Linked DNA regions of Sus scrofa. The protein of the gene in region 1 binds, or shares a complex with, the protein of each later gene. Links are inferred from orthologs where the notes say so. Each region holds a gene or a part of one and is shown on either strand. Other genes may lie near its edges. The genes, in order: GTF2H4 and POLR2C.

Evidence for each region.
Region 2: GTF2H4 (region 1) and POLR2C share a complex: the UniProt entries of both Homo sapiens proteins name them as parts of the TBP-based Pol II pre-initiation complex. The link is inferred for Sus scrofa from reciprocal best matches to the Homo sapiens genes GTF2H4 and POLR2C.

Annotation. Positions count from the first base shown.
Region 1 is NC_010449.5:23,391,553-23,408,075, reverse strand, and holds GTF2H4 (general transcription factor IIH subunit 4), read right to left. Parts: upstream 8,772-16,523; coding exon 8,632-8,771; intron 8,370-8,631; coding exon 8,265-8,369; intron 7,927-8,264; coding exon 7,795-7,926; intron 7,520-7,794; coding exon 7,423-7,519; intron 7,332-7,422; coding exon 7,243-7,331; intron 7,033-7,242; coding exon 6,921-7,032; intron 6,792-6,920; coding exon 6,723-6,791; intron 6,240-6,722; coding exon 6,156-6,239; intron 5,899-6,155; coding exon 5,766-5,898; intron 5,601-5,765; coding exon 5,470-5,600; intron 4,848-5,469; coding exon 4,800-4,847; intron 4,645-4,799; coding exon 4,566-4,644; intron 4,121-4,565; coding exon 3,948-4,120; downstream 1-3,947. Other genes in the region: VARS2 (valine--tRNA ligase, mitochondrial), read right to left, coding at 1-83, 773-892, 1,040-1,121, 1,733-1,830, 1,922-1,988, 2,092-2,213, 2,422-2,522, 2,638-2,719 and 1 more. UniProt on the Homo sapiens protein: Component of the general transcription and DNA repair factor IIH (TFIIH) core complex, which is involved in general and transcription-coupled nucleotide excision repair (NER) of damaged DNA and, when complexed to CAK, in RNA transcription by RNA polymerase II.
Region 2 is NC_010448.4:19,390,820-19,405,908, reverse strand, and holds POLR2C (DNA-directed RNA polymerase II subunit RPB3), read right to left. Parts: upstream 12,341-15,089; 5' UTR 12,242-12,340; coding exon 12,156-12,241; intron 11,973-12,155; coding exon 11,923-11,972; intron 10,722-11,922; coding exon 10,653-10,721; intron 10,503-10,652; coding exon 10,450-10,502; intron 7,674-10,449; coding exon 7,545-7,673; intron 7,083-7,544; coding exon 7,031-7,082; intron 6,899-7,030; coding exon 6,730-6,898; intron 6,572-6,729; coding exon 6,497-6,571; intron 5,749-6,496; coding exon 5,604-5,748; 3' UTR 4,790-5,603; downstream 1-4,789. Other genes in the region: DOK4 (docking protein 4), read left to right, coding at 1,140-1,247, 1,405-1,519, 1,774-1,893, 1,992-2,181, 2,827-2,965, 3,125-3,248, 3,362-3,480. UniProt on the Homo sapiens protein: Core component of RNA polymerase II (Pol II), a DNA-dependent RNA polymerase which synthesizes mRNA precursors and many functional non-coding RNAs using the four ribonucleoside triphosphates as substrates.

The DNA.
Region 1 (16,523 bases):
GAAACGAGGAGGCCGAAAGATACGGGGGTGGGGCAGCCAGGCAGCCGAAGCTCCGTGCGGCCAGACAGGGGCCAGCTCTCCACCTAGACACATGGAAGCAGCGGGGTCAGAGAGCGGCCTTTCTGCAAGGCTCACGCCTGGCTCTCCACCTCCCTGCAACCCCCCAGAAGCCACTCAGAGGATTCGGGAGTCACCTTCCTCTCCTCACCTAATTCCTTTTTTTTTTTTTCTCTTTCTTAGGGCTGTACCCGCGGCTTATGGAGGTTCCCAGTCTAGGGGTCAAATCAGAGCTGCAGCTGCCAGTCTACACCACAGCCACAGCAACGAGGGATCTGAGCTGTGGCTGCAACCTACACCACAGCTCATAGCAACGCCAGATCCTTAACCTACTGAGCGAGGCCAGAGATCGAACCCGCATCCTCATGGATTCTAGTCGGGTTCATTATCGCTGAACCGCAATAAGAATTCTCTCCTCACCTAATCCTTGTGCAGTCACATTTACTAAGTATTTAAACCATGCACCGGTATTGTGCCAACCCCTTCCAGGAGTCATCATGTAATTCTTAGAACATCCCCATGAGACAGGCATTTCCATCACCCCTAATTTATAGACTGAGGACACTGAGACTGATAGAGGCTAACAGCCAGCCGGGAGTCACACAGCTGGGAGGTGGTGGGACTCAGATGTGAATCCAGACCACCTGGCTCCAGAGTCCAAGCTCTGCCCCTGCCTCGGCACTCTCACAAACCCAGTTCTCTTTCTCTGCCTCACCTCAATATCTGAGATGGCAGATCGTAAGGCGCAAGACCAGTTGACAAGCTGCCGGCTCCGGTACAACAGCCCAGCCTTGTAGAGCCGCACAAAAGCTTCCGTCACAGCCACTGAGGAGCCCTAGAATGACCTGAGTGTCCACATCAGTGTCCACAATGGCCCCACTCAAGCTGCGGTACCCTCCCCACCCCAACACACACAGCAGCCCGCCTCCCTATAGAGATCTCTAAACACCTCCCTGACACCCACAGGGACTGTGGCACTCACAGCATCCATGGTAAAACATTCTCGGTCCCAGTCCAGGGAGGCCCCCAGCACGCGGAGCTGCTGACAGATCTCTCCACCCTTCCTATGCCGAGAGATTTTGGGCAGCAAACATGCCCCAAACACCAACTACACACCAAGCCCAGTGAAACCCCACTTATGCCGGGTGCTGGAGTGAGTTTGGCATTGATCTAGCCTCTCGAAGCCAATGGAGACAGATAAACCCAGAATGGGGCCTTCTAGGACAATGAAAGAAGCATAAAAGTTCTGCGGTAACAGGGGAAGAAGCAGCTGATTTGTGAGAAACCCAAAGAAGCTTTACAGAGAAAATGGCATGTGATAACAGACCTGGAAGAAAGAGGGTAATTTCAAGTGGATGGGAAGTGGGAATAAGTGAAGAGGAGAGACGATGAAATCTAAACACAGGAAACAGGATAAAGGGAGAAGAAAAATTCACACATATATACATGCACATACATAAATACTTTTCAGTGTATACAACGTGCACGCGCACGCACACACACACACACACACCCCAAGCTCGGAGACCCCACCAAATGCTCCCAGAGCTTACGTCACCATGGGAAGTTAGGACTGAATGAGAAGAGCCTCGCCTACGCGTTAGGGGAGAGGGGCTGGAAAGCCAGGACCCAAACCTGTGGCATTGGCCCCTCCCGCCCCGCCCACCATACTCACTCCTCCTTCCACTTCCACACCTCCCTAAGGAAGTCTTCTCGGCTCAGCTCACGTCTCCTCAGCCCTCGTTCCTTCCACAGCTTTTTCTCCACCACAGCCTACAGTAAGATGAGGGCGCAGAGAATCGGGTCACTTTGGGGGAAGAAAGCTCTTTCACCCAAGAAAAGGGAAAAGTGGCAAAAAACATACTTGAGTAGCAATCCCTGCATGATCTGAGCCAGGGACCCACAGCACCCGATCCCCACGCATCCGGTGCCTGCAAAAGAAATAACCTCACATGAATCCCTGGCCTTACCTGTTTATCCTTCGCACACTTTCTCCTTCCCCTCCAGAACTCAAGTAGCCCATTCTCCTCTCACCAGCGCACGAGGGCATCCTGTATGGCCACCGTCAGGGCGTGCCCGATGTGCAGGGAGCCAGTGACGTTAGGGGGTGGGATACACATGGAAAAGGTCTCCCCTGTAGCCTGAGGCAGCCTGGTCTAGAAGCAAGGAGAAAAGTCAGAGAGGGCTGGATGTTCCCTGGAGAAATAGCACCCTCTGGTGTCTGCAAGGCAGAAAGAAATGCAGAAAAAATAAGCAAATTAATAAGGAAGGGAAAAACCTACAGAGAACAATTGTGGAGACACCAACTCCACCAGCCATTTCGCCTTGTGGACCACTTAGCACTCCTCCCTGCTGGGTACTAACCTGATATTCTGGTTTGAAGAAGCCCTCTCGCACCCACCATGGGTACCAGGCAGCCTCAACATACCGGGGGCTGTATGCAGGAGGCAGGGGCCGGGAGACATCTATGGCGACAGACAAGAGCTCCACTAACTCCTGGATTTTGTTCCCAGGTTGCATTTCAGCAAACCAAAGAGGCGATAAAATTGTGAGGGAAGAGGCCTTCCAGTTCTTAATTACCTTTCTTTTCACCGTGTTCCGTGGGGATTTCATACAACACTATCTCCTTAGGAGTCCAGGCCTTAGTGGATTCTGCAGGTGGCTGGGGAGAGAAGCGACCAGAAAAGGGGTTGCAACTCCAGTGTACCCCAGGCATAAGGAATCCAGCCAGTCTCTCCTCCAGCTCCCTCCCAAGCCCCCTCAGAGAACCAAGGACACGCTATCTGACTCCTAACCTTGCCCTTTGCTGCTATGCCAGTCTCCAGCGCCGCCTGCTTCTCTCGCAGGCGCTTCTGTTTGGCTTCACGGTTTCTCCGTGAGATGGGTGATCCATGGGGCTCTGACTGAGTGGAAAGGGAATGGGACCTGGGGAAGCACCGTGTGGGCCTCAGTCCCCTAAGCGGTGGTCGAAAGGAAGCCAGAGGCAAGTGAGGCATCAGGAGTGCTTGCAAAGGGGCCAGGATCTGTTCCAGACAGAGCACATTAGAAGGTATGGGTGTGAGAAAAGGTCACACCTCCTGTTACACCCTATTCCTTACTTCCCGTCTCCTTGGTCTGTCAAATATCGACCCCACCCCACATAACCCATTCCTCCGTGAGGACTAGTGTGCATGGTGTCGACAGGGTCCTGGAGTCATAGAGATCAAGGCTCTTCTGGGACAGGGTCGGAGTCTCAGGCCTTCAACCTGTTTATCTGCGACGTGGGGGAAACAGAGATGCGGACAGAGGCAGGGAAAGGATTCAGGGATTCGCGGAGTTGATAGACATCGGCGTTCCCAAGAGCCGGCAAGGAGTCCCTCCAGGGTCACTGCGAACTCTGTCCTCCCACGAGGCCGTCCGCACTGCCCCCGGCCCAGCTCACTGCCCTGCCTTCCCGCCAGTCACCGCGTGGGCCCCGGCCCCGCAGCGCTTCCCACTCCTACGCGCGCGCTCACCGGGTGGGCCGGCTGCTATCCCAGGGCGCCCCGCGGCAGGGGCGGCAGAGGCTGGGGCTCCGAAGAAGCCGAAGCCGGAACGCGATCCGCAAGCCGCGCGGCGCAGGGAGGCGGGGCCCTGATGGGGCGCAGGCGCGGCCGCTGGCCTCGGCCCCACCTCCTCCCCCTCCCAGTCCAATGGCTGCCGACGAGGAGAAGAGAGGAGCGCGTCTTCCGCGAAGAGACGCCTCCCGGCTAAGCGCCCCGGGTCGCGTGGTTCATTTTCACAATTTTATTAAACAAGAAGAGTCTTGACGTGTGAATAAAAAATACCCCTGAGTTCTGAGGCGGCGTCCGCCTCCAAGCGGCCCGCCGTCACGGTACTGTCACAGTACTGTCCCGCCCGGTCCCGCAGTCTCAAGAGCTGTGCTTCTGCCGCTTCCAGAAGCGCTTGACGTCGCTGTGTCCCGCCGGGGTCACCACCATGAGCCGCTTTGCCGAGTTCTCGAACACTAGGACGCCCAGCTCCCGCGCGTGGGCCAGCAGCAGCTCAAAGTCCACTTGTGACAGGAACTGGTTATAGAGGACGCCTGGGGTCCGCAGGTCAGGAGCGGCGACGAGAGAGAGGTGAGAGCATGAGGTGAGGCGCGGGGCCCAGAGTCTGGGGCTGCCTCAGGGCAGCGGCCTGGGCTTGCCCCCCGCATTTACAAAGGAATCCTGTTTGCCTGTTCTAGGGCTCATCCTAACTCTAGTGTGATCCAGCCATATTCAGAAAGTCAATATAATACAATAAGAAAACCCATTAATGCTTATCAAACCAGGTATATTACTATGAATTATCCTTCGCCATTTCCCTCTTCTAGCTAATCCACATTGCACCGATTTGAAGCAGTTCATTTACTGCTGTCGACTCACCCCATAATAAACCCATGCAGTAAACACTGAGAAATGCATGAATAGCTTTTTCAGCTCATCAAGACTGAATTGTCCTTCCTCCGGCCAATGACCTAGAATCAACCACCAGAAGACACTCACCTTCAGTGAACCGTAGTCTGTCCCTTTCTAGCTCCCACAACCGAATCTGGTCTGTGATGGTGGGAGGCAGCACAGGTGTCTGCAGGGGCAAGGGATGGCTGTACAATCCAGGAATACCAGACAATCCCAACCCTCCTCTCTCCCCAGATCTGGATGCCCCCCTTCTCTTTTCCATCACTTCATCACGAGGTGCCAAGGGCTGTCAGCCTCCAGCAGCTTGGTACTTGTTCGTACCTGTTTAAGCATCACTGGGTGGGCCCTTGTCCTTAGGAAATGGATGATCTAGGAAAACAGACAAGAATTGGGATCAAGGGCTTCAAAATTAGGAAGGCTGGAAAGCTACCCAAGCTGTCACTCATAAAAACTCACAGGCACGTGCCTACCATTATTTCCACCTGTCCCAGTTCAGCTGTTGTCCCAAGCTGCTGTCCCCACTGGTGATGTCTGCTACTCTTCTGACACATTTGCCCTTTCCAAGGTATTTTTTTTTCTTTACAACAACATCATTTTTTGCACTCTTACTGCATGGCAGGCTCTGAGCCAAATGTTTTACCTCTTTCACTGAATCCTCCCAACAACCCTATGAGGTGAAAGCTGTCATTTCCATTTTCCAGTTGAGGAAACTGAGGCTCATAGAAGTGAAACTATGCCATTTATGCAACTAGGAAGTAGGGATGCTGAAACACAAGTCCCAAGATATAGCTTCTCCCTCCTCGTGTCTTCCCCTTGAGGGTCTACCTAGTCCCACATCAAGAGCCTTGACTTCTCACGTGCCTAATGCTCAAACACAGACCACTTACCACCACCTATTGTAACAGACCCCATGCTAACCTTCCATAAGGTGGCATACTCCATAGCCCAAATGCAACCTGTCTACCACCCCCATCTTCCCCAAGTGGGGTACCTGTTGGGCTGTGATGCCACTGGCAATGGCCTGCTGCACACTCTCCCGGGTCACCTGTGCCACCACCATGTTGGGGAAGCGATAGAGCATCTCAGAGAAAAGGGCAATAAGGGCGATCTGCAGCTCCGACTCTGACCGGAGATGGGAAGAGAGGATTAGGAGGCTCCTCCGTACTCAGACTCCCTCAAGCCTCCGAGAGCTCTGAACCACCAAGTAAACATCAAAATAAACTGGCATTCCCTCCCCTCCCCTCCCCCTGCCAGCCCGCTATCCAGGGGTCCTCTGTGCAGCCTCACCCGTGTAGGCGTACAGTCGATAATTGGTTTCCACAACGATGAAACCTGGCTGATGCACAGTGCCCCCAGCCCCAGAAACACCTGATGAGAGATTGATGGCCAGGCGCGTGGGGTAGTAACGCCGAGACTTCCTCTGGAAAGGAGGAGAGAAAAGCAATAAGCCCTCTCTCAGGGTCAGTGCCCTTCATCTTCCTCCAGATACATCAGATCCCTCCCAATGCACAGAACTTCAGCTCCCAACATCTCTCCCCCTCCCCCGAGGGACCCCAGTATTCTGTCCTGGCAACTGTCCCCTGCTTCTGCCTTCGGAGACCCCTGTTCCTTTTGAAAGGCCAAGGCAACATACCACCCTGCCTCTTCCCTAAAAGCCATGTATCTGGGCGCTCATACCTTCCTCTGGAAAACAAGGCCCAACTCACGGAGATGTTGCAGGAAGTTCAACAGAGAATCACTCATACCTTCCACAGAGTAATCCTGGGGAAGAGAGGTAGCCGGCTGGGGTCCAAAACCCAGCCCATTCTCCCTTCCCCAACCCCATATGCTCCTTCCCACTTTTCCCATCCCTGGTGTTCTTCGTTTTTTTGTTTTTTGCTTTTGTCTTTTTGTCTTTCTAGGGTCGCACGGGTGGCATATGTAGGTTCCCAGGCTAGGGGTCCAATCAGAGCTGCAGCTGCTGGCCTACACCATAGCCACAGCAACGCGGCATCCGAGCCGCGTCTGCAACCTACACCACAGCTCACAGCAACACGGGATCCTTAACCCACTGAGCGAGGTCAGGGATTGAACCTGCGTCCTCATGGATGCTAATTGGGTTGTTAACCGCTGAGCCACGACGGGAACTCCTCTTTGTTCATTCTTCTCTTTCACTCTATTGACCCCTAACCTCATTTCCTTTTCCATCTCTCTACCCTTCATCTTGCCCACCCAAGCCTCTACTAGCTCCAGCCCCCTGCTTACCTTGCCCAGAGTAGAGAAGCTGAGCTGGAAGAGGAAGGAGAGAATCTCCACTAGGTCCATGCCCCGACTCTAAGGAGGAACGGGCAGATGTGGGGAGGAAATGAGAGAAAACCGGGGAACAGAGTCTACAGGCAGCAGGCCCTCAGTGGGTCCTGGGAAAAGCAGAGCATGCCAGCAGGCAGCCCCCGACCTCCTCACCTGGGCTGTCTGCAGGTACTGCAACATAAAGTACCAGAGCTGGGCCGGGGTGTCCAACAACAGGAATTGGAAGCCCGCAGAGGTAATGCAAGGCGGCTCTCCAGGTTCAGCACTACAGAAAGGGACCATGGCAGAGGTTTGCTGAGAAAGGCCACCATTCCACTTGTCCGCTCACATTTTTCTTGGTTTATCTCTGGCCATGCTCTACGCAGCTCTCCTTTTGCAGCCAACCCCCTCCAATCCTGATCCGACCCAAACACTCAGGTTAGCAGGGACTCGAGGAGACGGCAAAACAGAGCTGTTGTACCTCTGTCTTCCTCACCTCTTCATGAGCCCAGCCTGGCTGAGGAGCTGAGCCAAGTCCTGGCTGACGGCTGCACTGGGGGAGCCCACCATGAAGTGCAGGACCACCTGAGGAACAGAAGAGACCAGAGAGACAGATGCCTCTAAGGGCCCTGGGATGGGAGCACAAGCAGACACACACAGAGTCCCAAGTCCTTACCTCCCATCGCTCCTCAGCATACTTGTCAAGCGAGGGCACATCCCGGGCATGCTTGTCTGGTCCCAGCTGACTTGTGTCATCAGACCAGGCCTTGCCCCTATGCCAGTACGGCCGAGAGTAAGGAACCCTGCCTGTGTTCCCTGCCCACCACCCCCCTTCCCTCTTTCTACCCTCATCTCCAGGGGCCACGAGTGGGAGACATATCCTATACCACGTAGCAAAGTCTGGTCCAACTTATTCCTAAAGGAGCTCCCAAAGGTGGAGCCCACAAGGTTCCAGAGAGGTCCCCCAGGGCCTCTTAATAAGTAGTTTAATGAGCAGTTTAATCACTAGTTCCCCTGCCTGGCCTAGGAAAAGATGGAAGTGACATACCCACCCAGAAGGGCAATGCGGAGGTTTTGGCGGAAGATGGGGTTGAGGATGAGGCCCTGGAGGCCACCAGGGAGCAGCTGGGTGTGCCAGATACGGAGGCCGCTCAGCAGCCCCGTGCTTTCCTCCTGGGCTCTGGAACAGAAGAGGAGAGGTGAGGGGAGTGTCCAGAGAACAAAAGGAAGGAAGCCCATAAAGACCACCATTTCTGCCTTTTCTGAACTGGTGGTCCTTGGAACACTGTTTCACAGAGTGAAATTGGTATCTTCTTAAGGCAAATTTCTTTACTGCAGCACCTACCAGAACCTTGTTATAGACATCACAACTCTCCAAGAGGCAAAATGGAGTATGCGTAGTTTCCCAAACTTGTTTAATTACAAGTTTAGTGGTGTTCCCTTGAATATACTCCAGCAGTTTGGGAAACCTGGCTGTTGAGAAATTTGTATCTGGCTGAAAGTGCAGCAGAGACTCACTTGCTGAATTCCTTCTTCACCCACAAGGCTACGGCAGCTTGTGGCAGAGGCTGCTCCAGAAAGAGCATCCGCATCACCCAGTTCTTAGCTAAAGATGGGAGCTCCCTATAAGGGGGCAGAGGGAAAACGTTAATATCAGAAACTGCCTCAGATCTGCATCCCTGCCCTCAAATGCCTCTCAAACATCTCATCTCACCCCTGGCCCTTTTACCAGTCTTCCTGCCCCCACATCTCCATCTGTTTGGGCCTGACACATTTTAGTCTCCAAGCCCCCCAGAGCTAAGCTTCTACCCATGATAACTTATTGCAGTCTGCAGGCCTCATTACATTTCCCTACTATGGTCCCTGCCATGAACGGGGTCCTCACCTGAAGACAGCCAAACAGGTGGCAGGGTGCCCATACAATCGGTCCAATACAACAGGGCTCAGGCCCCCTAAGAATTCCTGCAGATTCCTGCATTGTAGGTGTACTCGATTCAGTCCACCCCTTGAAGGGGTGCTCTCCATCACCTGAGAGATGCAAGTGTTAGTGGACCTCCGAAATCCATGCCAGTGTCACCCCCTCACCGTTCTCATTCCAATTCCAGATCCACTGGCCCCTGCAAAAATTCATCTTTTCTACAGTTTCCTTTTTCACGTCACTCATCTCCTCTTGTTTCTCCCAAACCTGACCACCCTCCTCTTCTTTCCTCCCTCCTCACTGCACTCCTGATCTCAACTCAAGTCTTCTCCAATTTCTAAGTGAAAGAATTGTCAGCTGTTCCATATTTGCAAAAATATTTTGTATTTCAGTGACTTATCTACACCCTAGGCAAAGAAAGTTTTCTGAGCCCAGTTCTCTCTCCCCTCGACCTCTCCTGGTCTGATCAGCCTATAAACTTCAATCTGCCCATTCTCTCCATCTATTTCTTGACCCCACTCCTCGTGCTGGGAACGGCAATAATTACCTTTCCCCTCCAAGTCTCATAAATCTAATTCCACCTCTTTCCTCTTCCCGTCCCTAAGACTACTTCACTCCATTCACCCTGACTCACACCGTATGATCTCCTCCTAACTCGTCCCCTACTTTCTTCCCAATGCTCGTCTCTCATCAACTCTCTCCTTCTTATACCTCCCGCCACCCCTTCTCTCCCAGCCCCCTTACCACTCAGTGTCGACCCCCTCCTCGTGCACTCCGAGTCTTAAGCCGTCGCTTAATCGGAGCCAGTGTCTCGCATTAGCTCTCAGGAATAGGGGAAAGAATGGCGGAAAGTGAGCGAAAAATATGGGGAGGGGGACGAAGGATTTCACCCACGCAAGTCCAGAGTGGAGGATTCAGAAGAGGAGTGGAGAGGTAGGGAGGAGAAGAACCGGCGCTGCACTCGCTCGCCACAGGGCATGCTGGGAATTGGAGTCTTGTCCTTCCCAGCCCGGGAGCCAGCTGAAGCGCGTCCGACTACAACTCCCAAAAGGCACTGCGGGGAGCCAAGCGGAGAGAGGCTGGCTTTTACGTAAGAGAGCCGGAGGCTCCGGAGGTCTGGCTGTTCGTTCCGCATCGCTCTCCACCCACTCGGCTAACGGCGAGTCTAACCAACCCGAGATCATGTGGGGACCCTGAGAATAGAAGTTCCCCGAGGTCTTCCTATCCGAGGTGCGGAAACCACTGGGTGGTGAGGAGCTCAGGTTCAGAGATGCAGAAACCTGGGTTCCTTGAGCTCAGTTGCTCCTCGTAAAACTGGAATAATGCACTTTCCAGAGCATTTTCTCGAATTAGGAGTTAACTCCATCCGGTGTGCCTTCCTTGGCAAGTAAATACTCAGTAAATCTTAATTGTCACGTCCTCCATGCTTCCATCCACCTCCCCGCCCCCCCCCGCCCCCTGTTAGAAGATCCTAATAAATGCAGTTTAAAAAAACAAACAATTGTTTGGTCTGATTTGATATATTAAACTACTGCTTGTTAAGGGAAGGGAACGTCTTAAGCCAGAGCCAGATCTGTAAGTTTCCCCAAATTCCTTTAAGACAAGTTTTATTATTCCCACTTTCCAGACTAGAGGACAGAAACTCAATGAGATTAAGAAATTTGTCCATGATCAGACAGCCAGAAACTGCCTAAACTGGGATTTGAGGTACATTTGCAAGTTACCAGGAATGAAAACGGTAAGAACTAAGATTTCTTTATATTTTGTAGCCTACCCATGCTTGTTTTGTTGTTCCGTAAAATCCTCAAAAGAATGGCACAAAACTGACAAACCTTCTTTATGGCAAAATGTTAAGTAAGATTGAACAAATTACAGTCTGGGAAGAAATGTTTGGTAAAATAGATAAAATACAAAGCAGTAAGAAAAAGAACACAATAGAAATATTAAGTTTAATAACAGGCAAAAAAAATACAAGTGCCATGTAACCAAATAAAGAAACTCTCAACTTCTCAACTTCATTGTTTTTTTTTCACATCTTATTTATTTATTTTTATTTTTTTATTTTTATTTTTTTTTGTCTTTTTGCTATTTCGTGGGACGCTCTCGCGGCATATGGAGGTTCCCAGGCTAGGGGTCGAATCAGAGCTATAGCTGCCAGCCTATGCCAGAGCCACAGCAACGCAGGATCTGAGCCACGTCTGCGACCTACACCACAGCTCACGGCAATGCCGGATCGTTAACCCACTGAGCAAGGGCAGGGATCGAACCCACAACCTCATGGTTCCTAGTCGGATTCGTTAACCACTGCGCCACGATGGGAACTCCTATATTTATTTTTTTTATTACTCAAATGAATTTATCACATCTGTAGTTGTATAATGATTGTAACAATTTGATTTCCCACCCCCAAACTGTCTCCTCCAGAGACCATAAGTTTTTCAATGTCTGTGAGTCAGCATCTGTTCAAAGTTCAGTCTGTCCTTTTTTCAGATTCCACATGTCAGTGAAAGCATTTGATGTTGGTGTCTCATTGTATGGCTGACTTCACTTAGCATGATAGTTTCTAGGTCCATTCATGTTGCAAAAAATGCTGATATTTCATTCTTTTTAATGGCTGAGTAATATTCCACTGTGTATATGTACCACATCTTCTTGATCCCCTCCTCTGTCGATGGACATTTAGGTTGTTTCCATGTCTTGGCTATTGCAAATAGTGTTGCAATGAACTCTGGAGTACATGTGTCTTTGCGAGTCGTGGTTTTCTCTGGATAGATGCCCAGGAGTGGGATTGCTGGATCAAATGGTAGTTCTATGTTTAGTTTTCTGAGGAATCTCCATACTGCTTTCCACAGTGGTTGCACCAATTTACAATCCCACCAACAGTGTACTAGTGTTCCTTTTCCTCCACACCCTCTCCAGCACTTATTGTTTGTAGACTTTTGGATGATGGCCATTCTGGCTGGTGTCAGGTGGTACCTCAGAGTGGTTTTGATTTGCATCTCTCTAATAATGAGTGATGTTGAACATCTTTTCATGTGTTTCTTGGCCATCTGTATGTCTTCTTTGGAGAACTGTCTGTTTAGATCTTCTGCCCATTTTTGGATGGGGTGGTTTGTTTTTTTGGTATGGAGCTGCAGAAGGTGTTTATAAATTTTGGAGATTAGTCCCTTGTCAGTGGATTCACTTGCAAAGATTTTCTCCCATTCTGTGGGTTGTCTTTTTGTGTTGTTTAGGGTTTCCTTTGCTGTGCAGAAACTTTGAAGTTTGATTAGGTCCCATTTGTTTATTTTTGTTTTTGTTGTCAATACTCTGATAGGTGGATCTGAGAAGATGTTGATGTCATTTATGTCAGAGAGTGTTTGGCCTATGTCTTCCTCTAGGAGTTTGATAGTGTCTGGTCTTATATCTAGGTCTTTAATCCATTTTGAGTTTATTTTTGTGTATGGTGTTAGGGAGTTTTCTAATTTCATTCTTTTCCATGTGGCTGTCCAGTTTTCCCAGCACCTCTCAACTTCATTCTTAATTAAGGAAAAGTAAATTAAAGAAACAGTAGGAGTTCCCATCGTGGCGCAGTGGTTAACGAATCCGACTAGGAACCATGAGGTTGCGGGTTCGATCACTGGCCTTGCTCAGTGGGTTAAGGATCCAGCATTGCCGTGAGCTGTGGTGTAGGTTGCAGACATGGCTCGGATCCCATGTTGCTGTGGCTGTGGTGCAGCTACAGCTCCAATTGGACCCCTAGCCTGGGAACCTCCATATGCCGCGAGAGCAGCCCAAGAAAAGGCAAAAAGATGAAAGAAAGAAAGAAAGAAAGAAAGAAAGAAAGAAAGAAAGAGTAAAATACCCAATTAACAAATAATAGTAAGGGGAGTTCCTGTCGTAGCTCAGTGGTTAGTGAACCCAACTAGCATCCATGAGGACGCAGGTTCAATCCCTGGCTTTGCTCAGCAGATTAAGGATTTGGCATTGCCTTGAGCTGTGGTGTAGGTTGCATATGCCACAGTGTGGGCCTAAAAAGACCAAAAACAAAACAAAACAAAACAAAACAAAATAGAAGAACCCATTAATAGTAACGACTGACAGCTTCAATGTTGGCCTCAGTATATGCACACATACAACCATACTCATACACTTTTGTGGAAGGGTAACATAGGCATGCTTTTTATTTATTTATTTATTTTCGCTTTTTAGGGCCACACCTGTGGCATATGGAGGTTCCCAGGCTAGGGGTCGAATCGAAGCTGTAGCCGCAGGGCTACACCACAGCCACAGCAACACCAGATCCAAGCTGCATCTGGAGCTGTAGTCGCAGGGCTACACCACAGCCACAGCAACACCAGATCCAAGCTGCATCTGTGACCTACACCAGAGTTCATGGCAATGCCAGATCCTTAACCCACTGAGTAAGGCCACGGATCGGACCCGTAACCTCATGGTTCATAGACAGATTCGCTTCTGCTGTGCCATGATGCACATTTTTCTAACGGTGTGTACCAGTGCTTTTAATGTGATTCCCTTTGACCTAGCAACTCCCCCATTAGGAACATAGCATGTTGAAATTCTCCCACATGGGTATGGAGATATACATGCAAAGATGTTTATTGAAGTGTGTTTGTTGTTGTAGTATGAGAACAATGTGGTAACTGTCCAAATGTCTGTGACTGGGAGTTGGTTAGATAAAATGTGGGTCATTGCAATGTAGAATACTGGCCAACACTTGGAGAGGAAGTCACTGTATGCATACTGGCCTGAGCTATGTACCACCTATCATGGGGGAGAAAGGCAGATTACAAAATGGCATACCTAGTGCAATTCTATCTTTGTAAATAAGAAGCTTTTGTAGTTTTCTTCTGGCACAGCAGTTTAAGGATCCAGCATTGTCACTGCAGTAGCTTGGGTAGCTGCTGTGGCAAAGATTCAGTCCTTGCCCTGGGAACGTCCACATGCCCCAGGTGCAGCCAAAAAAAAAGAAAGTTTTTGTGTGCATGTAAAACTGAAATAGGCTATATGCTTCATTTTTAATTTTTTTTTTATATATAATGACTTATTTTTTTATTATAGTTGGTTTACAGGGTTTTTTTTTACTTTTTTATTTTATTTTTTTATATAATGATTTTCGTATGCTTCGTTTTAACCAGAGCAAGCAAAGGGGAGCTGGGCAGGCAGAGTCACAGTTCCCTACAATGCAGGGAAAACTAAGGCCACACTATCCAGAACAGAAGCTGTTAGTCACCTATGGCTATTTAAATGGAAACTAACTAAGGAGTTCCCATTGGGGCTGAGTGGTAATAAACCTGACTAGTATCCATGGGGTTGCAGGTTCAATCCCTGCCCTTACTCCAGCATTGCCCTGAACTGTGGTGTAGGTCGCAGACTCAGATCCCACATGGCTGTGGCTGTGGTGTAGACTGGCAGCAACAGTTCCGATTTGACCCCTAGCCTGGAAACTTCCGTATGCCATGGGTTCGGCCCTAAAATCAAAAGAAAAAGAAAAAATTAAGTAAAATAAAAATTTAAATTCAGGTCCTGTGTCGCATAGTCCCATTTCAGATGCTGAATAGCCACATGTGGCTAGTGGCTCTGTTGGACAGTAAAGATGTAGACCAGTTCCATGATCGCAGAGTTCTCTTAAAGAGCCCTGCTCCAAGGGATGCAAGGTGTCCGATGTCAGGCTGAGTGCAGGCGGAGTTCCTGGAACTGACCTTCAGGAAGAAAATCAGTCTGGGCTCCTCATTGCTGAGATTGTGGAACAAGCTCCCTAACATAGGGCTATCCAGCATGTGCTTGAAAACTTCCTACGATGGGTAATGGAGAGCCCTTCCCCCTCCGCCTCTCATGTAGCATTCTGGAGAGAAAGAACAAAGAGCCAGGAGCTGAAGGCCTGTTTTCCACCCACTTCTCTGTTTCCTGGCTCTGCTGCCTTGGGCAGGATGCTAACCTCAGAGAGGTTTTCTTCTCTGTGAAATAGCAATAATTTCTTGTGTTAAATAAGATATAATATGTAATAAGTATGGTACCTGACTCATAGAGGGTGCTCAGTAAATAGTATCATCGTTATTTTCTAAGCAAACAAAAAACATGTAAATCGTATCATAGTGAGTGCTACAAAGAAGAGAATCATGTGCTCTGGGAGCATCAGGAAGGGATTTGACCTGTCAGGCAAGTCAGGAAAGATTGCTGAAGGACAAGCAGGAGTTTGTTGACAAAGGCTGTTCCAAATGGAGGAACAGCAGGCTTCAAGGGCCATGTGGCAGGAAGGACTGGGTCCATTGGAGGAACGGAAAGACCAGTGGTGCAGTAAGGGGAGCAGGGGCGGGGGCAAACTTGGCCAAGAAGATTTTGTCCTTTATTCTAAGGTCAATGGGAAGCCACTCAAAGGTGTGAAATAAAGGAATGGTGTCAGATTTGTGTGTTTCAAGACCACACTGGCTATAAGGTGAAAACAAACCAGGGAGGACCAGGAACAGAACCTGGGAGACTACTGCAGTGGTCCAGGCAAAAAGGAGACAGAATTTAGGAATTTAAGGGAAATTTGGGAAGCAAAGTCAACAAAGCTTGGTGATAGACTGGACCTGAGAGGTGAGAATAAGGGAAAAGGGGTGTCAAGGATGATCCCCAGGTTTCTGGATTGTGCATCTGAACTGCCGTTCACTGAGTCAGAGAAGCATGGGGAAGCAGCGGGTTTGAACATGCTGAGACTGAAATTCAAATGAACTCTTAAGTGGTTGCATAGGTCTAGAGCTTAAGAGCTCTGAGTGCAGAGATTTGGGAGTTCTTGCTTTGCTGCTGTGGCTTCTTTTGCTCACCATTCTGGGTTCTAGCCACTAAACTCCTGTCCTGTCAGTGCTTGTCTTAAATTGTGGGTCAGTGGTCTGACTTATGTAGGTTCGAGCAGGACTCAGATCTATGACCCAGGGTCTTTATTTCCCACTAACTGCCATCAAAATGGGTCTGCCTTTTCTAATACTTGCAACTGATTTTTTTTTTCTTTCCAACCAAATTTGAACTCTTTGCTAAATGTTCTCTTGGTGGTTTTGGCTCATCCTTCCAAGCCTCCGAGATGATCTAGTAGGCTTTTGGTTCTGGTTCCCAAACAATTCACACCTATTGGGTTATTATTGGCACAGCAGACCAGGCTAATCAAGAAGTTTTCCACCTAGGACATACAGACCCTGGGGTGCAGGGAGGAAGTTCCTAGAACTTGCGCAAGAAAAAAAAAAAAACTACACCTCTTTTCAGTAACCCCTAAGTGAAATTTAGCATTTCCTCCAAGTAGGAACATGAGCAAAATCCCCAGTACTGTTGGCAGTACCTGTGACTTCTCACTAATAGACATCACAGTTATTTCATATCCTATACAGTTATAGAAATCTCAGAACATTGTTGCTCACTATTTGAAAAATGTCAATAATTATTGCACCTGCTGCTAGGTTTTGTTATTATACATATTTAAAAGAAGCACATTTGTTACTGTATCATTTTAAAAAACATTTTGCTAAACCTTCTCAATTGATTTCTTTGATTACATATGTAATAACTTTTTAATGGGCTTTAAAGCATAATTCTGAGGAGGAATCAACAGACCTCTCCAGACTGCCAGAGGGGTCCATAGGTCAGACAGTGTTAAGCTCCCCCAGGCCTCCTGCAGGGTTCCCCACAGGCAGTGGCCTGACTTGTCCAGAAACAGAACACTCTGCTAGACAAAACACGTAGTAGGAAATGGAATGGGGAGAAGAAGGAAAAAAGAAGGGAAGAAAGAAAAGAAATGGGCTAGGGAGGGTGCAGGAGGCAGATTTCACCAAAACCCAAAGAAATCCACTCACGGCTGTGGAAAACTCAACCTTTATTATTACCTGCCT
Region 2 (15,089 bases), on another chromosome or scaffold:
GCCGTTTGCCAGGGAGAGGAGCGTGGCGATTCCTAGGGAATGGCTGGGCCAGGCCTCTGGAATGCCTGCCGAAAGAGCAGGCACACCCCAGCCAGGCTTTGGGCTGGGAGAGAGCCTGAGGTGGGAGGGAGGGGGCTGTGGGGGCTGTGCTAGGAGGAAATCAGCAGCCCAGGCAGGTGGCTCGGGCCGCCTCTGAGGGGGTCTGAGGAGCCAGCTTGCCCCTGTAGCCTTGGAGAGCAGTTGGCTCCCTGCTCCCTGGCTCCTTACTCCTCAGATAGACTCCTGAGCTATAGAGAATTTAGGCAGATTTAGGCACAGGGTCACTGGCAATGGTTGGGGCAAGGCACCATGCTTTGGGATAACCCCAGGTTCTTGGTTCTGCTCCTTCACCTCTGAGAGCCTCTGGTTTCCCAGCTGGAACAAGGGGCCTTCCCCTGGTTCCCTCAACTCCAGGGTTGGTCAGAGAATGAAGAGGGTGAGCGAAAGGTCCTAGAGACAAGAGGGGGTGTCTCCCACATCAAGAGCCTGCCTCCAGCTGCAAGAATAAGGGCTGCAGTGACATGCAGGCTGGGAGCAGGCGAGGGCCTAAACCCTGTCCCCAGGACACTGCCTGTGTCATGGGTGCTCCTGGAGCCCTGGGCAGAACCTTAGCACATGGGCTCCTAGGACAGCCCTGGATCTAGGCAGCCTGTTTTAAATAGCAGCTCTACCATTCATTAGCTGTTACTCAACTTTTGGGTGCCTCAGTTCCCCGGTCTATAAAGTGGAGATAATAATAGAACCGACATCAATAGTGACCCTGAGATTAACTGCAGAGAGTGTTAACAAAAAGTACAAATAGGAAGCACTTGATAAATGCTAGCTGCTTATATTGAGCCGAGTCGAGCTCATAGTAAACAGTAACTCAGGAGCGCCCTTTATGGAACAGGCTTTCAGAACGAGCCAAGAAATGACTACCTGTTCAATCTGGGGAGGGGCCTCCTTGCCTGGCTGGTGTCCCTGCTCCCCAGTCTTCTGGGCCCGGCTCCCTGGAAGGCTGTGCGCTACTGCCCCCAGTGGTAGGCAGGGGTAACTGCAGGGCCACTTGGGCTGGGTGGGAGTGGTCCGGGGTCTGATCCCCCTGCCATCTTGCCCCACAGATCTATCGGAGGTGCTGGCTGGTGTTCCGGAAATCCTCCAGCAAGGGGCCCCAGCGGCTGGAGAAGTATCCAGATGAGAAGTCAGTGTGCCTCCGAGGCTGCCCCAAGGTTAGGGGCCTGGGCCCTAGCTCCCCCAACCTGTAAGCAGCGACAATTTGTTTAGAGTCCTGAGAGCCAAGGGGACCCTCCTGGGGGTGGCAGAGCTGTGGGGGATATAGCGGGAGGCTCTCCAGCCTGGCTGAGTCCCTTATGGATGCTGTCCCAGGTGACGGAGATCAGCAATGTCAAGTGTGTCACACGGCTCCCCAAGGAGACCAAGAGACAGGCGGTGGCCATCATATTCACTGATGACTCGGCACGTACCTTCACCTGCGACTCAGGTGAGGGATTGGGGCTGCAGGCTGGGGGCTGGTCAAGGGCCAGTTGGTAGGAGGCAGAGCAGGGCTAGCCCTGCGGGTGTGACGCGTGGGGTGGAGGGCGCCATTGGAGCAGGCCCCAGACCGAGGTGGGCAGACACGCAGAATCCCCTGGCCTTGCCCGCTGCCTTACACGGCGGGAGAACTCCAGCCGAACCACATGGGGTGGGAGCGGCGGGGCCCTGAGCTGGCCCGTGTTGAGATCCCATGTTCTCCAGAGCTGGAGGCAGAGGAGTGGTACAAGACACTCTCGGTGGAGTGTCTGGGATCGAGGCTCAACGACATCAGTCTGGGAGAGCCGGACCTCCTGGCCCCGGGAGTGCAGTGTGAGCAGACAGGTGAGGCCTGGCGCTGGCGTGGGGTTGGGGGGTGGGGAGAGGCCGGGGAGAGGCCTCCCCTGAGAAAGCTCCAGGCCCACTCGGCCACTCCCATCCAGACCGCTTCAACGTCTTCCTGCTGCCCTGCCCCAACCTGGACGTGTATGGCGAGTGCAAGCTGCAGATCACCCACGAGAACATCTACCTCTGGGACATACACAACCCCCGCGTGAAGCTCGTCTCGTGGCCCCTCTGCTCACTGCGCCGCTACGGCCGGGATGCCACACGCTTTACCTTCGAGGCTGGCCGGTAGGACTCTCTGCCTCCCCGCCATCAAACCATGGCTCTGACAGTGGCTGCCATCCACTTGTGTTGGGCCCTGTATTGGAAGCTTAAGGTATTTATCAGCATAGCGTGCTGAGAGGAAACAGAATATCCCCGTTTTCCAAGTGAAGGGATGGAGGTCAAGTGAAGCTGTTTAGCAGGTCAGGCTGCTCGGGTTCCGGTCCGATGCCGGCATTGGCATTGACTAGCTCTGGGACAGTGGATCTGAGTCTCAATTTCCTCATCTGTCACATAGGGCATAGCAGGTCCTCCCTCCTAGGCTGGGTCAAGTATGGTTAAGGGTTGGGTATAGCGTGACCTCTCAAGCCAGCCTGCCTGGACTGAAATTCTGTGTAATTCTCTGGGTCACTCTGGTTGTTACTTACCCTCTGAATGCCTCCGTTTCCTCATCTGTAAAATGGTCGAAGTGGATTAATTCTAGTAAAGCATTTAGACTACCACCTGGCACACAGAAAACATTCAGCACATTTGAGCTGGGGGGTCAGATCCTCAGATGACAGCCCTGCCTGTTCCCACCGGGGCCTGGGGCGCAGAAGAGCCTGACTGGGCGTCTGCACACATACGGGGAAGTCCCCACCACCTCGCCTTCTGTGCTACTTGTGTCCCTAGGATGTGTGACGCTGGGGAAGGGCTCTACACCTTCCAGACGCAGGAGGGAGAACAGATTTACCAGCGGGTCCACAGTGCCACCCTGGCCATTGCCGAGCAGCACAAGCGGGTCCTGCTGGAGATGGAAAAGAACGTGAGGGTGAGGTGGTGTGCTCAGCACGGGAAGGGGGAGCTGGTGGGCGGGCAGGCTGGCGGCAGAGCATGCCAGCAGCCCCCACCCATCAGGTGTGTGGAGGAGGCAGGCAGGGTCTTGGGCCGCCTGCTCTGGCTTAGCCACTGCCCCTTCTCTGCCCCACAGCTGCTCAACAAGGGCACTGAACATTACTCATACCCCTGCACGCCCACTACCATGCTGCCCCGCAGTGCCTACTGGCACCACATCACGGGTTCCCAGAACATCGCCGAGGCCTCCAGCTATGCCGGTGAGTCACTGCTGTGCCCCACACCCACCGGCCAGAGGCTCTGCGGAGGACAGGGCGGGTCCGCAGGGCCTTCTGTCCTGGGATCACGTCTTCAACCTACCCTGTGTCCATAGGTGAAGCGTATGGGGCAGCCCAGGCCAGCTCAGAAACGGACCTCCTCAACAGATTCATCCTGCTCAAGCCAAAGCCCAGCCAGGGGGACAGCAGCGAGGCCAAGACCCCATCCCAGTGACCGCAGAGCGGCGCGCACGGATGACTGCTGGGGCCCCCTGCTGCGGGGCCACTTACCGCGTATTGTGGACGCCTGGAGGGGCTGTTGGCCAAGAGCCTGAAGGAAGGAAGCAAGCTGTCCCTTCTTTGTCCCCAAGGGTGAGACTGGACCAAGGCAAAGGGCTGGCCACGCCACCTGAGCATGTGTGAGGGGCTGGAGCTACCACAGGACTGTATACTGTTAATGATTTTAATATATATGGCTTATGACATATTCTATATTAATAAGATTTCCCCTCTCTGTCCCTCCCTGCCACCACATACATTTTTTAAGCCCATGACCAAACCCCAGTCAAGGCTGTTTTTCAATGTGAACAGCTATTTCCTGTCCCCCAAGGTACCAGCCCTCCTGAGCTGCCAGGGCTAGAGGAGGCAGCCAAGCCGCACTCCCGGCTGGTGCTCTGGCTGCTGGCTTCTCCCAAGCAGGCCAGGGTGGAGACAGCACGCGGCTTCTTAGTCCCTCTGGGCCCACAGAGTGGCACAGGAAGGATCCGAACATACATTGTGCCACTTGGCAGCCTTGCACTTGGAGTTTTAAGCAGAGGTGACATCTCGTTGACACCTCAGGTGAAAATCTGGTTTAAAATGGTTTCTGCCCAGGCTTCTTCCTGCTTAGTAGGCTGAGAAGACACCCTGGGGTTGGGGGTGCTGGTTACCTCAGCCGGGGGAGGATGGCCGGACCCGAGCGTGTCCCTGCCCCCGGGCCAGGCCAGCAGGGAAGGCCAAGCTGCAGGAGGACTGCTGAGGGAGCACCCCGCAGCCCTCTCACTGACTGGGGTGGGCAGGGCCCCTGCAGGGGGAGCCCCTCTGCCCGTCTGGCTCCCGGCCAGCCAGAAGTACTCAGAAACCAAGACCTTCCCACTTCCTCCTCCCCACATGGTGCTGAGGCTCCCTGCTGAAATGCAATTAAAGCAATTGATTTTCTAGTGCTGGTATTTATTGACTACCGTGCAGAAGGGCTATCTTTCTACTCACATCAAACCTGCGGTTGCGTGTGTGTTGAGTTTTTTGTTTTTAATATTTTAGGACTCTGATTTGTGAGAATAGACCTTGTAAATAACCACTGTTCAAGTCGTGGCAGGAGGAGGATAAAGCAAAAGGCCCCCTCCGCCAGAACCCTGGAGCCAGGGAGGTGGCCACAGCCAGCTCAGCTTTGGACCTGACCCAGGGACCCACCACCCAGAGGAGTAAGCTAGCCTGAAGGGAGCCCCGAGGCCACGGAGAGGGAGGCGGAGCTGACTGGCTCACAGGTAGTGGCACGATGACGCATGAAGGAGATGACGTTGTGCTCTTTATTGCCAAAAATAAAAACTTTTAAAAGACAACTCATACACATCCCTTCCTTTCTGTACTAGGTCTCTGATTTTCTCCAGGCTTCTCTGGCCAGGCTGCCTAATTAACTGCTTTGGGTATGTTCCTACCTCTAAGGCTGAGCCAGGGGCAAGGCCAACCTTTCCTTAAGTCCCCTGCCCTCCTGACAAATAAATGGGCCACTGTTGTTAAGTTCATAACTGATGGGGAGAGGGGGACAGCCTGGGTCTAACAGTGTTCTCAAAGGGTCTCAAGTTAGGGACTCCTGGGAATATGAGAGAAGTGCCAGTACGCGGGTCAGGGCCGGGACTGGAAGGACCTGCAGGCGGCCTGAGAAAGAATTCTAGAGTCAATCCTAACACAGAAGCCTGAGGTACAAGAGCGAAATCCCAATTTGTGGACAGGAAGGATTCAAACTAAAGCACTGAACTGATCAGAAAAGGAGAGTCCAGCTCAGTGGTTCTCAACCGGGGGACGCCAGGGCCCCTGGAGGCACATCCGGCGTTGTGGAGAGCACCACTGCCCATCAGCAGGCAGGGCCACGGATGCTCAATGGATGTAGGAGACTTTTCCGCCTCCGACAGCAGTGGCACCCCCGGCAACCTGCGACGGTGCCAGCCTGGGATGGCCTGCCCTCCCCCACCGCTACCTTTCTAGCCAGTACTGCAGGTGTGCCAGGAAGCTTGAGCAACAGCTGTCCAGTCCCCAGGAGCAAAAGTCTCAGGAGAGGCCTGAAATTCAAGAGCTGTTTCTGCTGAGACAGGTGAGCTGCGGCTAGTTTATGGTCAGGACGTCACTCTGGATCTCATGGCTTAATTGGGTCTGTAAGTCACTCAGTTTCTTCTTTAATCCAGAAAGTGCTGAGAGGACAATGGTTTCAGGGCGCAGAGAGCCACAAGATTCCACGTTGTAGTAAAACCTGAGAGGCGAGAGTCCGGTCAGAGGCCTCCGTGAGGCAGCCTGGCCGCCCCCACCCTGGCCACAGGCCCACCCCTTCCCTCCCTTCTGAGTCCTGACTCCTTTCCCCCAGACGAACTCCAGCCCCTGGACTGCCTCCCTCTAACCCCCTACAAACAGAGGTCCCAGGGCACTTTGCAGGGCCTCAGGGAGGCCATAGCTACCTGGAAAGGATACTGTGAGCCTCTCAAAGCTCGTGTGTTTGCTATACATATTCCACACTGAGGGCAGCCAGAAGATCAAGGAAGCAGCGTCACCTGCTCCAGCATTTTCGTACTTTTTACTCTAAGCCTTTGGTCAGATTTGGGACTTAAGTATTTTGTTTTGGGCCACTCCCCACCATATGTGGAAGATCCCAGGCCAGGGACTGAACCTGCGCCACAGCAGTGACCCAAGCCGCTGTCATGGCAGTGCTGGATCTTTAACCTGCTGTGTCCCAAGAGAACTCCCAAGGGCCATAGGTTTTTGATCCTAGGCTGATCTTTCTTTGGGTGTGGAAAATCAGAATAGGGACAGTCTGAATAACAGAAGGGCCCCCCTTTCTCACGGTGACCGCGAGGGGGATGATAAACTGCCTGGGATGTACACAGAGTGGGGTTCAGCAGTGAGCAGCCCCTCCTCAGCTGGCGGGAATGAGAAGGAAGCGAAGGGGCCTCCGGCACTCAAGAGCCTGCACCACGCTACCTTCAGGTGCCAAGCCAGGGACTCACCTCTCTGGCTTGCCGTTGGGGTCGTAGGGCGCCTGTGACTCATCCTCATCCAGCTCCGAGTACTCACTCTTTGGCCTGAGGTCAGACATAGATCAGCACAGGGTTGCTGCCGCAGCCGCTTTCGGGGTGCCCAGGTCTCATGGTGAGGTGCCCCACCTCAGTCGCCAGGAGCCACTTCCACACCCGCCCAACCCTGACCTGCCTGCCTCTCCTCACTCCCACCAGGAACATACCATTCCTCCGGCTTGGGGTACACCGTGTGCCTCAGGGCATTGTCGGGATCATATTCAAAAGCCACCCCTGCAGTGGGGTTCCACTTGGCGTGTTCCTTGCCAAAGCCCTTTTTGGCGTAGGCGCGAAGTCTCAGCTCCTGGCCCTTCCTCAGCTTGACGATGAGGATGTCTGCGGGGAGAGGGGAGAGGTGGGCGAGGGCCAGCAGAGGCCTGGTTCTCCGCAGTTTGACCCGCGCCGCCACTGCAGGACCAGGCAGCACGAGAGGCTGGGTCTGGTCTCTGCCTCTCTTGGGCCCCTTACCGTCCTGCTCCACGTAGTCACTGGGGTCATTATCTCGGTTCCGGGATGTCACCTGCAGGGAACCCAAACAGGCATTATTAGCTGCTGCTCAATGTCCCCATGCACCTCTGCTGGTTGGGGATTTGGCACTGCCATGAGCTGCGGTGCAGGTCACAGATGCAGCTCGGATCCCGCGTTGCTGTGGCTATGGTGTAGGCCAGCGGCTACAGCTCCGATTCGACCCCTGGACTGGAAACCTCAACATGCCTCGGGTGCAGCCCTAAAAAGAGAAAAGACAAAAAACAAAACAGTACCACAGCCTTCAAAGGGTCCTTGGGAGACAGGGGGCCCAGAGCACCAACAATGGCTCTGCCCACCCTGGCAAGACTCCAGAATCAGCACTTCCAGGCACCAGGCTGAGGTTAAGGCAGAGGGCACACAGGGAAAGCCAGTGTTTTATAAGGAGCCACCCGAGTCTGGTCCACTCGGAGCCAAGAGAAGAGCAAAGGCCCTGGGCAGGGAGGATGTCGCTGACCGGAATGACCCGGGGGCTGTTGGAGATGAGGTCTCGGGATGTGACGTGACGCGTCTGGTCTTCGTTGCACCGCACATCGAGGGTGAACTCCACCGAGCACTCGGGGCAGAACTCCTCACAAGTGCAGTCCTGAGGCAGGAAGAGAGGCAGGAGTGAGTCTAGAGAGATGGCGAATCCCGGCCTGGCTCCCTGCTTCTAACACCCCGTCCCTTAAGGTCCTTCCCTGGGAGAGGGCAGAGCACAGCCTCCAGGCTCCCGTGGGCTGTGTCCATCCCACACGCCATTCTCGGGCTGCTCAAGGGCAGGCTCGTCCCAGCTCAGAGACAGCTGTGTCTACCCCCCGCGCAACACCAGGCCACCACCAGGAGATGCACTAACATCTCACCCTACCCTCAGAGCACTCTTCTTCTAGAACCAAGGCACTGAGAGAGGAGGCAGCTTTCATCCTGCACAGCTCTGTGTCCCATAAGCTAAGTGACTGGCTTAGGAAAGCCATCACCATTTAAAAGGAAATAATCCAGGGAACAAGAAAAAATCTATCTTTTAAGTTCCAGACTACAGACCTTCTCTAAAAAAAAAGTCACAGGTAATGTATGAATTTATGGAAATTTTCATACATTCACAGAAGCAGAGAAGACTTAAGAGACTGTCACTATGTAACCATCACTCAGCTTCATTAACTTTCAAGTGTGCCATTCTTTACACTGATTCTTAAACATTCCCGTGTTAGAGACGAGCTGCTACCATTTAACCTCAGGCAAAAAGAGTTACTAGAATGTAATCAAGCAAACCTTCCCACTTCCTACCAGTGAAGAAAATCCAACCTACTTTTTGTTGTTTTCAAGACAATGAGGAAGAACTAGGGCCCACACCTGGTCAATTTGCAATCACACACTGCTGAGGCAGGAAGACAGCCTAGGCCCTCAAGACTGCATCATTCTTAGGAATATGAAATTAAAAGTATTCAATCTCAAAAAAAAAAAAAGTATAATAAAAAAAGGAGTCTGAGAGATCAAGAGAATAAAAAGGTATAATAACTAAATGCAATCTTGATTGGATCACAGACCCACAGACAAAAACCAGTTAGGACATTTTGAGGATAACTTGGAAAATCTGAATTTGGACTGTATATTGATAGTACAAATCAATGCTAGATTTCTCTTTTTTTTGGCTTTTTAGGGCCGCACCCGTGGCGGAAGTTTCCAGGCTAGGGGTTGAAGTGGAGCTACAGCTGCTGGTTTACACCACAGCCACAGCAGCTCAGAATCCATGTCAGTGACCTACACCACAGCTCACAGCAACACCAGATCCTTAACCCACTGAGCGAGGCCAGGGATGGAACTGTGTCCTCATGGATACTGGTCAGGCTGTCGCAAGGGAACTTCCAACGCTAAATTTCTTAGGCATGATGACAGTGTGCCTACACAGGAAAATACCTTATTTTTAGGACATGAATGTTGATGTAATTAGGGGAAAAGTGTCACGATATCTGCAACATTCTCTCAGAAGAAGAGAAAAAATAACATATGAAGAATAAAGCAAGTAGCAAAATATTGACAACTGGAAATTATAGGTGAAAAGAGAATAAGTAGTCTATCTTCAACCTTTCTATAGCTTTTCAGAAACAAACAAAAAAACCCCATACCATCTTTGTTCAGTAAATGTAATACTACAAAAAATGAAATTCAATGGAATTTGTAGGTCATAAGGGGATTCATATCTTTATATAAGATGTTGACAAATTGCTCTTCAATTGGTTGTACAAATGTCCCCACCAGTACATGTGATGCTCTACTTCTTAAAAACAAAAATCTGGAGATGTGAAGCAACAAAATGGTGTGAAAAATGTGACAAGTGCTTTGGAGGGAGCATGACTATGTTACATTTGCTTCACACTCTGCTGTGTGTTTGAATATTTAAAAATACATAGGAGATCCCCTCGTGGCTCAGTGGTTAATGAATCCGACTAGGAACCATGAGGTTGCAAGTTTGATCCCTGGCCTTGCTCAGGGGGTTAAGGATCCGGCGTTGCCATGAGCTATGGTGTAGGTCGCAGACGCAGCTCGGATCCTGTGTTGCTGTGGCTGTGGTGTAGGCCAGCGGCTACAGCTCTGACTAGACCCCTAGCCTGGGAACCTCCATGTTCCACAGGAGCAGCCCTAGAAAAGGCAAAAAGACAAAAAAAAAAAAAAAAAAAAACAACCATAAATTTACAAAATTAGCCACCAAAAAAAAAAAAAAAAAAAAAACCACACCCCTGGGAATACTAGAATTGCCATCAAGAAGGAAGAGTCTGTTACCTAATGCAGCTCTGGTGAAAAGATGCAGGTAACCTAATCCTTTCCTGCCCTCTCCCTAGTTCTAAGCCTGTTATCACATCACAGGAGCAGAAACAGGGCTCTAGAGGAAGGGAGCCATGTTTAATTAGCAAAACCTAGGAGTAAGGCATAAAGCTGGCAGACATCAGCACCCCAGTCCCTCGTGTGCTCCTCTGTGGGACAGTTCTCACCCCCTCTGCTCCCTGTCCACACCCACTAACCTTCTGCTGCCGCCCTTTGGCCTCCTAAGACCCTGCCCCTGGGAAGAGATGCTGTGGAAAGCAGAATGTGAACAGATCAGACGCTGAGGAGGAACAGCTCCACCTGTTGTGTATAAGTGGGCATCCAGGTGTATATCCACTCTTGTGTGGCGGGCTCTCAAAACCCCTTGATGCCCCTGGAGCCTCGTCAATCTGAGGCCCCATGAGATTTTAAGAACATAGCCTGCCCTGGGCTCTGGACAACATCTCCACACTGTCTTTCTAAAAGCTGCAAGCAAGGTGTCAGGAAAAATCCCTTTGAGAACGTGAGTTCCCTGCTTCTCTCGATTCCTGACCCCCGACCTCCCAAGCAATCACACAGCATACCCGGGAGTACTGCAGCTTGTCCACAATGTCGTCACTAGTGAGGGGGATTAATCCTGGAAGACAGAGAGAAGCAGTTTAAACAAGGTCAAGGGGCCAAGCCAAAGGAAAAGCCAGCAGTCCCCTTGGGAGTGAGGAGACTTCCTCCCCTGAAACCGGCAGAGCCCCACTGCCCTGCCCTTTAACTTCCCAAACCCAGCACTCACCAAGCCTGTGAGCAATGAACTCGTCGTGAAGGACTGAGGAATTGGCATCAATCTGAACCCAGTCAATTGCTAAAGAAATAAAGGAAGCAGAGCAGATATGCAGTTTAGCCACCAAATTCACCTGAAGGCTTAAGAACAGTGGTTCTTCAGATTTAAAAATTATCTAATGCTTACCACATTGCAGACACCAAGGCCAGGCTGCCAGAGACTGATTCTGCAGCTCTAGAGGGGGGCCCAGGAAGCTACACTTTAACAAGAACCACATGCCAACATGCTCAGGTGGATCTGATACAGGGAGTACCCTACACCACCCAGAAAAACAGCGACTTGTAGACTACTACAGAAAGGTGTTTCTCTGAGTTGACTATTTCTGTGGGAAGCACTCTAGTCTACCATTCATGCCATCACCAAATCCAAGAACACAAACTATTTGAACACCTCAAAGTTAAACAAATCTCACAAAAACAACACAGACTTATGATCCATAGTGCTTTTTCTCCCCCTCTGATTTTTAGGGCCACCTCTGCAGCATATGGAAGTTCCCAGGCTAGGGGTTGAATCAGAGCTACAGCTGCCAGCCTATGCCACAGTCACAGCTACTCAGGATCCGAGCCCTGTCTGAGACCTACACCACAGCTCACCGAAATGCCAGATCCCCGACCCACTGATGGAGGCCAGGGATCGAACCCACAACCTCATGGTTACTAGTCGGAATCGTCTCCACAGCACCACGACGGGAACCCCATATCACAATTTATGGTATAATGACCAGACTGATTGCATTCCCAGTGCCTCGCACCACTGCCTGGTACTTATAAGCTCTGTAAACTCAGTGGATGGAACAGATTCATAAAAAGATATTTACCGGTACTGAGCACTCACTAAATACAAGGCAATTAATAGAGATTACCCCACTTAATCCTTGACGTCACCCTGATAACTACTATTAGCGTCCGAATGTTAAGAGGAAATTGCAGCACAGTTTGATAACTTGCCTAAGTTTCACAAAGACAGTATTCGACCTCAAGTCTGCAAACTCCTGAACCTGTGCTCTTTACCTCGAAGAGTGGAACTGAGTGGCCCGTGGGAGCCAGGGAAGGGGCCACAGTGGCCCTGGGGCAAGAGCACGGGGTCCGATCAAGTCTCCAGCATTGCTGTTTTCGCAGCGCCCCCACCCTGGGCCCCAAACAAGGCTGGAGTCAGGAACGCCAAGGTATGGGGAGGTGGGGGAACTGGTGGCCCTGACCACGAGGAGGCGAGGGCCGCTTACCTATTATGGGCACCTCAGCGATGAAGACCCTCCGGATAGAATTCGCCACCCTAAGGAATGAAAACCAAGCGGCGCGTGGGCACCGCAGACTCGACAGCCGGCCCCGCGCCCCACGGCTCCCAAAGCAAAAGCCCCGGCTCCGGGGCCAGTTCAAGAAAGACAGACCCCCGCCCCTCCAGAGCCGAGGCCCCGGGCACTCTGAAGCCGCCAGCCCCTTCCCTCAGCACCCTTACGCCAGGTCCGTATTCTCGATAATGAACTTGACATTCTCGTCGGTGAGCTCGGTGATCCGCACGGTTGGCTGGTTGGCATACGGCATCGCGCCAGACTGCTCGCGGGGCCTTGGGGGTCGGTTCTGCTGCTCGCGCCCCTGCGCCTGCGCCTGCGCCTGCGCCTGCGCCTACGCCGCCACCGGAAGTCGTTCAGCGCGGTCCCGCCGCTTCCGCAGAGACACGCTCAGAGCGCCGCCTGCTGCTCGGAGGCCAGGCTGCTCCGACGTTTTCTACCCTCAACCTACTTCAAAAGGCACCAGGTTCAACCATTTAGAAGGCGACTTAGTAAAACATGCACACGCCCTTGACTCCACAGAAACACTTCTAGAAATTCATATGAGAAGTGCGTGCAGTTGTAAGCAAAGATACATGTACAAGGATGTTCATTGCAGCACTATAACAAAAAACGATAAATAAAACGGATTGCCCACTGACACAGACCTGGTTAAATATACATAGGAATACTATAACAGTGTTTTTGGGGTAGGTTGTTTGGGGGTTTTGGGGGGTTTTGGGGGGGTAGGGGGGGTTGGCATGTGAAAGTTCCTGGGCCAGGGATCAAACCCATGACACAGCAGCAACCTGAGCCACTGCACTGACAACAAAAGGCCTTTAACTATATATATTTTTTTCTTTCTCCTTTTTAGGGGTGCACCTATGGCACATGGAAGTTTCCGAGCTAGGGGTTGAATTGGCACTGCAGCTGCCAGCCTATGCCACAACCATAGCAACACCGGATACTTAACCCACCCACGGAGGCCAGGAATCAAACCTGAGTCCTCATGGATACTAGTCAGGTTCTTAACCCACTGAGCCACAATGGGAACTCCCAACAATAATGTCTTTTAATGAGGTTTGTACACTGATGGAGGAACAAAAAGACAGTCAGTCCTCCCTATCCAAGGGTTCTTCAAGAAGACTGAAAGAAAAAAAAAAGTCCATAGAGTTCCAAAAAAGCAAAACTTAAAAATTTGCTCACACCCAGCAAATATTTACATAACATTAAACATTGTATTAAGTACTATAAGCAATCTAGAGATGATTTGAATTATGTGGATGTGTGTGGATTATATGCAAATCTTATGCCATTTTATATAAAAGAATTGAGCATCCAGATTTTGAGAGGGGACGGGGGAGTTCTAGAACCAAAAGCCCAAAAGACTGAGGGATGACAATACTTTACATGTACTTAGCAAAATTTGCTTGAGTGATAGGTTTATACCCTTTCCCTTCCACTCCTAAGTCTGGATCATGCACTTTTGACACTGCAGGAAGATGCAGTTCTCTTCAACCTATCACCTCCAGTTCTGCGGAGGTGGGTGGGTTATGATCTCTTCATCTCTGCATCTCCAGTGCCTGGCAGTGTGTGTCACCCAGGGGCAATGTACGACAAAGAATTATGCAAGTCCCCTAAACAGTCCCCCTAGAGAGAAGTTTGAATAGGCCTCAAAAAGGTGGCAGGAGCTCACACAGAGAAGCCCTAAAATAGAACTTGGCAGGTGACAGCATTTAGGGGGCAGAAGAAGAGTAATCTCCTACAGAGGAGAGAAAGGAAGAGCACTGAGGGGGTCCCTGCTCCACAGCCTGTGTCATCTCAGTAAATTAAGAATCAAATTGTCTGCTGAGTGCAAGAGGCATGCTATAAAGGATAAAGGAGAGAATGGAATGAAATTTGAAATAGCTACTGCTGAGAGGTTGACAGAAAGTCGAGATAAAAGGCTTAGGGAGGTGCAGAAAGGGCCCAGAGGAAGGCCCACAAGAAGAGATGGGAAGTTCCTACTTAGCTTGTTATCTCCCTCATGAATATTCCGTCTAGTTAGGTAGGAAACAGCAAAGCAGAAGACAGAGGCTTCGAGATCCTGTGGATCCCCAAATGCTTAAGCCCTAACCCCTAATGTGAGGGGGTGAGGTCAGGAGGGCAGGACTCATGAAGTTAGCGTCCCAATACGAACAGGAAGAGACAGCTCCCTCTCTCTCTCCCGTGTGAGAATATAAAGAGAAGGTGGCCACCTTCATTCAAGTCAGGAAGAAAGCGCTCATCAAGAACCGTATTGGCTGGCACTGTGATCTTGGACTTCCCAGCTTCCAGAACTGTGAGACATTTTGTCACAGCAGCCTAAGCAGACAAATATAAGAGTTAACTAGACTTAAAAAAGAGAGCCCAAGAGTTCCTGCTGTGGTGCTGTGGGTTAAGCATCTCACTGCAGTGGCTTAGGTCATTGCAGAAGCACGGGTTCGATTCCTGGTCCAGCACTGTGGGTTAGAGGGTCTGGTGTTGCCATAACTATGGCGAAGATCACAGCTGTGGCTCATATTCAATCCCTGGCCCAGGAACTTCCACATACCACGGGTGCACCATAAAAACAAATTAATTTTTTAAAAAGAGGGAGGAGTTTCTGCTGTGGCTTAGCGGTAATGAACCCAACTAATATCCATGAGGATGCAGGGTTCGATCCCTGGCCTCGCTCAGTGGGTTAAGGATCCAATGTTGCCATGAGCTGTGGTGTAGGTCAAAGACGCAGCTTGGATCCTGCGCTACTGTGGCTGCGGTGTAGGCCAGCAGCTGCAGCTCCAATTCGACCCCTAGCCTGGGAGCTTCCACATGCTGCTTGTGCGGCCTTAAAAAGAAAAAAAAAGGGGGGCAGGGAGGAGAAGCGCAGTCAGTTGAGACACTGACAATTAGTAAAGCTAGCAACTGTGTCAATGAAACAGAAACAGGAGGTGCCAAAGGAACTAATAGTGGTGGCGGGGGAGGGGGGGTTGCACAGCAGGGAAAGGCCATCACCCACATTGTACTGATGGGAAGCCTGGGCCCACACATACGGAGCTGTCACAACTTCCCAGTAATATCAGGCAGCGCTAGGACCAGAACCCCAGGTCTGCTAGCTTCCAGCC